Sus scrofa: one gene and its partner. The main gene of each other region encodes a partner of the protein of the gene in region 2 in a complex. Links are inferred from orthologs where the notes say so. Each region holds a gene or a part of one and is shown on either strand. Other genes may lie near its edges. The genes, in order: SLN and ATP2A1.

Region 1 (4,304 bases), on a different chromosome or scaffold from region 2:
GATGTAACATACAGAAAGAGGCACACTATCTCACCCCATCTCCTCATTTTGCTCTGGAAGTAAGTATAACTTTGGTACCTTTAGTATCTGTGCAGAGGGGGCTGCAGAGGAAGTAGTATCTGGCAGGCATGGTTGACACCCAAGGCAAGTAGTGGTGGTTCTTGGCAGATGGCAGTTGTTCACAGAGAAAGTAACAGTGATGTCCTGTTTTTGTGCTGTTCCTCAGTGGGAGTGGTTGATATCTAAGTGCCTGGTGAGTACTGTAACATCTAGCAAGAGGGCTAGGACAGAAGAAGAAAAAGTTAGCTTGTTAGCACAAAATGTGTGCCCCCATGTCTTCAAATATCTTCAGGCCAAAGATATAATTCAGGCCTCCTCTTCTGGCCCATACTGGCCAATGGGGGCAAGAACAAACAAAATACACGCTAAAGAGAGGAGGCCTAAACCACCTCTCCCAGATAAGCTGCCCAAATTCCCGGAATACTAGCCCCTGGCAACTCCACATTCACTTACTGTAAAAGTGTAAAAGGTTAGGTTACTGTAGAACAAGTGCTCGATTGCCCTCCGAGATAGCACATCCCTCATCCAAAAGGAAACTTAGCCTGTATCTTGCATCCAGTTAATCTTCTTCCACATTACTGCAACTAGGCACTTTTGTTTTCTCATTACCTTCACAGGCAGCAGAGAGAGATTTTCATGATTCTTCATGATTCTATTCTCTCTGCTTTAAATAGCTAAAGGCTTAAGCCAAACGAACTCGTTTACAGAGAACAAGCAATTTTGTCTTGTCTATATTATTCTTACTGAAATGGTAATTGTGTTATCCGACAGATTCTCAAGAGAGATTCAGTGAAAATACCCTTGATCAAATTCACCAAGGAACAGAATGTTTCAGGTGGGCGTGTCTGGCTAGAATCTCTCTGAGCTGTTCAGTAACAGCACATCAAAAGATTGCTGAATTTTTATTTCCCATCAGAAAAATAACAAAGCGAATCTGAAATCTGGGAGTGTTTTGAGGGCAGATGGTATTAGCTTAGTAGTAAACACATTTTTGGCTGCTGCTTTTTCCCCCCCTTTGGCAGCTATGTTTAATGGGCTGAGAGAAAGCTGTTTGCTTGCAGAATCTTATTATAGAGCAGAAATATACTTGTTCCAGAGAAGAGGAATTTAATTGGTTCCAAGTCAAATGATGTTAACAGGTGTCACCCCACCAATCCAGGACTTAAAATGGGTTATTATAAACAGGACTAATACGTATTTTTCTGGCTCTGACACCCACCTATTATGCAAGACTGCATGCCCCTGTAATGTTCCTCTGAATTATTTCTAGCAACTTTAGGGGGTGGTTGACATGTGCTCACGCACACGTACTGTCGGCTACCACATAGTGCCTGCCATTTTCTTGCCCTTTAGCTCAAGCTCCTCTCTGCTGCCATCTGCCACTAAGGCCTGCACAGCTTAATATAAACTACAAGGAAGTCTCGATCAGTATTTCTGCTTCTGCCAGGCTCCGTGACACTTCAATGGAAGGACATTACATTGCTGGTTCCATGGATGCACTGAGGTCCACAAGATGGCACAGGTAGACGGAGAATCTCTGCCCCTTTTAGTGCTCCATACCGTTGAGGTAAATTGTCAAAGAGTTGGGGAGTTTTTACCCATAGCGCTCTCTTCCTCTAGGATCCAGACCTCAAGCTTAGTGAAGTAGGATGGGTAGTGTGTGGGAGTGGTGCCATGGAATGTGCCTCTCAGATGTGACTGCACCGTACTTGAGGTGGACCCCAGCTGCTCTTCTCTGAAATCATAATCACGTTTGCATGGGGGGCCTTGCTTCCCTGGCAGCTGTCAGCCAGTAACGGAATTGCAGTCTAAGATGCTTCTACCCAACCTCCCTTCCTTTTTCCCTTGTCTCTTTCTCTTGCCATTTGATGACTGCAATGGAATAACTCTCTATTCTCCCTGTTGTTGACCACATGTGTCTTCTTGATCAAAACTCCCTTCAGAGTTTTCTCTCCCAGGTGATTTCTAGGTCCTTTTTATGAGTAGATTGGATGTTGACCTCAATTTCCCCCACTCTCGTTTGCCTGTCATGCTCAGCCGTTTGGGGATCTCAGGATAAGAAGTGATGTGAGCTCCTTGCTATGTATGCTCAAGCATCTATTATGATTCTTTACTAGTTCGATGCAGTTAGAGAAACAAAAGGAATATAAGAATTTATCCTTGCCTTTGAAATTTTTTTGGATGAAATATATTGTACTAATTAAACAGAAGAATTCACCATTAATAAAAGAAAACCTACAGGAAGGGAAGCATCCAAAGGGCAATCAAAAAGTTAGGCAAGTTTACTAGCTTTAAAATACATCAACACACTGCCTTTGAAATTAAGGTTAGTTAGTAAGCCAAAAATCACACATGTGCCACAAGGACTTAAAAATATAGATAATAATCATTAATTTTTCAAGGACGTGGATAGCACTTTAAGGAATATGGTTTCCTCTTTCCCTGGGCTTGTACTCCTGTGCTTGGGATAATGGAAGAGCATAGCAGAAAGCTGTTTCTTTCTTTCTGAGCAGCTCCATGTCCCGTTGAATGTGAAGATGTGAAGGTGAGAGAGGCACCGTAATTATCAGACTCATTGCTGTGATGTGTTAAGAGCTTATCGCCTTTCATTGAGGCCTTGCTGAATTCTCCCATTGGGTCAGAGACTAGTAAAATTCATGGTCTGACATAAGGTCTTCACTTTTTGCTTCCAAAGTAAAAAGATTGATGGAAATTGGGAGTAAATTAAACAAGTTAATTTAGCTCTTAATTAAGCATAAGAACACAGCATTAATTTTCAAAGGATATAATATTTTACACTTAGGAATGTATATGATGGTATGGATTGGGTGTCAATACCAATATCAATGTGAATGTTGTTTTCTTAACATTTTTGACCTTTGGCTAAATTGTAGATTAATAAGCATAGAAATAAGATCAAGGATTGTTTAGTATGTCCTCCTATTGATGGGAAGGTCAGCACCTTGAAAGAAAGTTGATATGTAATGTTAAGTCATGCGAATTACAGAAAATATCAGCAGAATTAAGTAAGGTTAATTTAAAGAGAGAAATTTTCTTTGGCAGCAAGGTTTGAAATCTCATTATTCCAGCTTTTTAAATGAGAACAATAGTGTTGATTTTTTTTTTTTTTAATGGACTCACAGATCCTCAGTGTTAAACTCTGCTTTAAGCCTTTGAATAGTTGTCATGTGACTTTGGGTGGCTTGCATATTTTTCAGGGAAGGGTTAGGTCAAACTAATGATGAGCTGAATTCTTAGTGTTATCACACTCTCTCATGGCATCACAGGATAAACCACTAATATTAAGCTGCTTCTGAAGTCTCTATCTGGGAATTTATGAATGTGCTGGGCACAATAGTCCCTGGTATAATGTTGGATAAACTTAAATGGGACAGCCAAACAGAAAAACTAAGCTAACTCAAGAATAAGCAGTAGGATTATCTTCAAGTTACATTGAAATTGACCAGTTCAACTAAATTGACAGTTAGTAAGCTGTTTTGTGATATGTTAACATTTCCCCATTGTATTTAATATTTAATTTTTTGATGGGGGCAGCCTGCAGCATGCAGAAGTTCCTGAGCCAGGGATGGAACTTGCACCACAGCAGTAACCAGAGCCACAAGAGTAACAACACTGGATCCTTAACCCACTGAGTCACCAGAGAACTCCTATTTTTTTTTTTTTTTTCTTTTTTGGCTGCTGCATGGTATATGGAGTTCCTGGGCCAGGGATCAGATCCAAGCCACAGCTGTGACATAAGCCACAGCTATGGCAATGCTGGTGGATCCTTAACCTGGTGTGCTGGGCTGAGGATCGAACCTGCATCCCAGGGCTCCCAAGATGCTGCTGATCCTATTGTGCCCCAGTGGGAACTCCCAGGGAACTCTTATTTAACATTTAAAATATTGTGGAGCTAATTCCTATTCCAATATATACAAAATAAATGCTTTCCCATAAATCCAATACCAATACATGGTACAGTATGAATAATTTCATTCTATAAGAATCAAAAAAGATAAAGGTTTTTCAAGTATCAGATTCTTTTACCAAAATGAACTTGTGAATTTGAGATTGTACCTATGGAACCTCAAACATGAATAAAAAGTGATATAAAGTTTTTTTGTTTTTTGGGGTTTTTTTGCTTTTGGGTGGTGATATTAATGGTAATTTAAAATATCTTTATACTTTTATATTTTCAAATTTTTAGAATAAATATATAACTTTTTAATTGGACAAAAAATAAT
Region 2 (3,810 bases):
ATCAAGGGCCAACCAGCCCCCACTCTCCACATACACATCTTCTTGGCCTCGGACCCATCCTGGACCACTCGTCCCCATCACTTACCCGCCACCTCCACGATGTCTCCGGGGACAATGTCTCGGGCCTTGATCCTTTGTACTGCCTTGCGGTCAGCCCGGTAGACCTTCCCCATCTCGGGCTCATATTCCTTCAGAGCCTCAATGGCATTCTCTGCATTCCGCTCCTGGGGGGACAGGGTTGAGGAGAGGAGGGTTGGCAGAGGAAGGGAGGTGGTGGGATGAGAGGGCACTGGTCCTGGAGGATGCAAGTGGTGTAGGTTCAGAAGAGTAGGGACCGGAGTCCCCGGGGGAAGTGGGGGCATCACAGGGAAGGAGGCAGGTTATGCAGTCCTGGCTCCTGGCCCAGGGAAGAAGACAATCCCCCCCCCACCCCCGACCCAACATGAAGGGGTGTGTGTGTGCATGTGTGTGTTCAGGAAACTGACTCACAGCCTAGAACAGGCAGAGGAGTTTGGAAGGAGAATTTAAAAAAAATCAGAAAGCAGGGGATAGGAAAAGCAGAGGATGGTATAAGGTAAGAGAAAAAAGGACATCAAACTAGCATTTGCAGAAATCCTCCCATAGGCCACACACAGGGCTGGGCACGTTCACACTCATTGTCTTGTTACGTGTCACCACAATTCTGAGGGCCGGGATGATGAGCCTCATTTTATAGACAAGGAAACTGAGATTCAGAGAGATGAAGGAACTTGCCCAGGGTTGTACAGCCAGCAAGTGACAGTAGGGACCAGTCCCCCCCCCCCCCCCGTCCTTCCAATGTTCTGTTCCTTTTCCAAACTGAGCAAAAGGACCAGAGAACAAGGCAAGCCCAGGGGAGGTGATGGAGGAGGAGGAGGAGGAGGAGACGGGGACGGAGGCTGGCCTCACGTTCAGTGTTCAGTGTCAGGATGTGAAGGAATGAGGCAGCGTCAAAGCTAACCTGCCAAACTCCCACAATGGCGTTGGCAATGAGGATCAAGAGGATGACAAAGGGCTCGACAAAGGCAGTGACTGTCTCTTCGCCTTCCTCAAACCAGGCCAGCACCTGGGAACAAGGGAAGGGAGGAGAATGGGTAATTAAGCCCCCCCACACTCTTCCCCCCCCCCACAGGGGTGAGGAGAAGAAATGGAGGTGAGAACCTGCACAGGAGCAAATGGGACGGGGCATCACAGGAGCACCGCCGCCCCACGTCGCTTTGAGGGCCGACACGCTCCATGGCCCAGACTCACACGAGCCCGGCGGTTGCTGATATTCAGCGGGCACAGGCGGGCACAGACATGCACAGCTCAGGGATTAGCTGGGAATGCTTTCAGGTTTCCCTGACCAAGTAGTTGGCTTGTAAACGAAGCTCCGGGGACACCCAGGCCAACTGCCCCCTGAGCCACATCCATCCCACAGGAGCCAAAACGCGCTAGGCAAGACCCTGTGGTCCCTGCAGGCGCTGGGCCCACCCATGGCCCTCCCCCACAGCAAGACGAGGCAGGGAAGCTCCAATTTCAAGAGGGAGCAGGAGGGGGGGATAGTGTTACGGGGCCTCCTGTACACACCCCACCCCAGCTGTTGCCACTGCCAGGCAACAGCCCCAGGCAAATGTCAAGGAGCAAATCTGAGAAGGAGAAGGGAGGCCCTGCCAGCTAGTACTCAGGGGCCCACGGGGCCTCCACTATAGAGACCAGGGGACACGGGGACTTTGGGGCCTCCAGAGTCTTGTCTTTGAGAACTAAGATGTTAAGGAAGAAACTCTCAAATGCAGGCTGGATGCTGGGATGGTGGGTGCTGAGGGGAGCTCCAGGGCAGGAGAGGTGCCAGGGCCTTAAGAGGGCGGTGGGGGCGGCCCTGAGGCTGTGAGGGGGAAGGGTCAGGTCAGGTCAGGTGGGTGAGGAGGGGGATCCCGGAGTTCCAGCCCCGATGGGGGGAGTTGGGAGGCGAAGCTCAGAGACAGATGAGGGGTCTGGGCCATTAGGTGCTTTTGGAGTCACCCTGGCACCAGCCGCTTTTTCCCGCCTCTGGGAGGGAGTCTTTGCTTCAACCAATCAGCGCCAGGAGGGCGGGGCCGGGGTGTCAGGATGCTCAGGGATTGGTGGAGCGGTTTGTGCGTCCCGCGGCATGCCGGGAGCAGTGGTGGCCTGGGAACCTCAGCGGCGGCGTGTGAGCCGTGGAGCCCAGCCGCGGAGCGCTTAGGGGGGTAACCCGAGACCTCGGAGCCCTTGAAGCTCCGGGGGCGGCTTAGCTTCAATGTTTTGGCTGAGAACACCCTAAAGCTTAAAATAAAACCTGCCTGTGGGGTGTGGGGGAGGACAGAGGAATATGCAAATCAGCGTCACCCCACCTCTCTCGGTTCTGGTCTGGAGAATAGGATGCTGAAGGCTCGGACTAGAGGAACCCATGATTTGGAGCCGGTCGCCAGCAGACTCTCCAGATCCCCCCAACCCACAGCCCCAGCCAGCCCCCAGAGGCCCTCCCACACTTACAAAGGAAATGCAGGCGGCCAGGAGAAGGATCCGCACTAGGAGGTCTTCAAACTGCTCTATCACCAGCTCCCACAGGGACTTCCCTGGGGGAAGAAGCAAGGGGAGGGAGCCCTCGGGGTTAAGGTCTAACAGATGACCGGCTGGGACTCTGGGTGCAGGCTGGGATCCAGCCTGGAGCAGAAAGGGTCTGTGGTGATGGGCAGGCCATTTGATGCTGAGAAAAGGGCTGAGGGAACAGGCCAGGAGTCCAAAAACAGGCTCCTCCAAGGAGTGGGCAGTTGTTCAAGGGCTGGATGCCTCAAGGAGAAAGTGCCCGGAAACTTCTGCCCCGGGCCAGGCTCTAACCTTTGGGGAGGAACATTTGTCCCAGGAGTCAGAAGGAGAGGGCAGGAAGAAGGGAGTGGGGCACAGAGGGGAAGAGGTGGAACTTACCTTCCTCAGCAGGGAGCTCTGCCCAGAGAGAAAGAAGAAAAGGACACATTCATTTGGCATTCAGTGCAATGCCGCCCGCACCCAGGACTTTGTGGCTAAGGTAAGAGAATCAGGCCACCAAAAGGGCAGCTGAGGTTCACCAAGGTTATCCATAGAACTTCTCCAATCTCTGGGTCTCAGGGACCCTGTTTTCTCAGTATCCTCCCCTCCCCTGCAGTCATTGGTCCATGACCTGTCTCCTCCCTAGGATCCCCTGGAGCGCAAGGCCCTGGTGTGTGAGTGTGAGTCCATGTGTGTGTTGTGCAGATGCGGGAGGGCACGACCGGCCTCTCCTGCAAGGGACACTTACCATTGTGGCCGTATTTCTCCAGATGCCGCTTAACTTGGTCCGGGGTGAGGCCTGTGGTCTCGCTCACCCCAAAATAGGCCAAACATTCTTCTGTGGTCTTGGAGTGTGCAGCCTCCATGGTGCTCCCTTCCTGGGGGCCAGGGGGCGGTCTGTTCCTTCTGGGGGGGTTTCCTCACGCGTGGGGGGCCTTCCTCAGTGTGTCCACCTGCCTGTCCGTCTGGGTTTCTTCCTCTCTCTCTCCTACCCCCCCCAGCTTATTCTTCCCTCCACGAAGCTCTGACCCCAGTCCCACTTGCAGCAGCCGGCCACCCCCCCCAGCCCCCAGCTGGTCCTTATGAGGGAGTGGGGGGGGCAGGCTCCCCCCTCCCCCAGATCAGGGATTGGCTGGCTGAGACTCCAGCAGGAGGGGTCAGAAGAGAGAGATATTTCTGCTGACAGAGGGGGAACAGTGGGGCTGCAGCCTGAGATGTCACTCATGAGGGAAGCTAAGGTGGCCCCAGCCCCAGGGAAGGGGGGGG

Evidence for each region.
Region 1: the proteins of ATP2A1 (region 2) and SLN are in contact, whole or in part, in a crystal structure (PDB 3W5A), measured with the Oryctolagus cuniculus proteins. The link is inferred for Sus scrofa from reciprocal best matches to the Homo sapiens genes ATP2A1 and SLN. Residues at the interface, in XP_069919846.1 of Oryctolagus cuniculus: Phe88, Val89, Leu96, Ala100, Ile103, Val104, Trp107, Arg110, Asn111, Asn114, Arg324, Lys328, Trp794, Leu797, Gly801, Leu802, Thr805, Ala806, Phe809, Trp932, Ser936, Leu939, Leu943, Leu946, Ile947, Val950, Pro952, Leu953, Ile956; in NP_001075856.1 of Oryctolagus cuniculus: Met1, Glu2, Arg3, Ser4, Thr5, Arg6, Glu7, Leu8, Leu10, Asn11, Phe12, Val14, Val15, Thr18, Val19, Leu21, Ile22, Trp23, Leu25, Val26, Tyr29.

Annotation. Positions count from the first base shown.
Region 1 is NC_010451.4:36,239,527-36,243,830, reverse strand, and holds the start of SLN (sarcolipin), read left to right. Parts: upstream 1-1,425; 5' UTR 1,426-1,582; intron 1,583-4,304. UniProt on the Homo sapiens protein: Reversibly inhibits the activity of ATP2A1/SERCA1 and ATP2A2/SERCA2 in sarcoplasmic reticulum by decreasing the apparent affinity of the ATPase for Ca(2+). Also inhibits the activity of ATP2A3/SERCA3.
Region 2 is NC_010445.4:18,547,771-18,551,580, reverse strand, and holds part of ATP2A1 (sarcoplasmic/endoplasmic reticulum calcium ATPase 1), read right to left. Parts: 5' UTR 3,411-3,810; coding exon 3,293-3,410; intron 2,962-3,292; coding exon 2,944-2,961; intron 2,595-2,943; coding exon 2,512-2,594; intron 1,085-2,511; coding exon 980-1,084; intron 225-979; coding exon 86-224; intron 1-85. UniProt on the Homo sapiens protein: Key regulator of striated muscle performance by acting as the major Ca(2+) ATPase responsible for the reuptake of cytosolic Ca(2+) into the sarcoplasmic reticulum.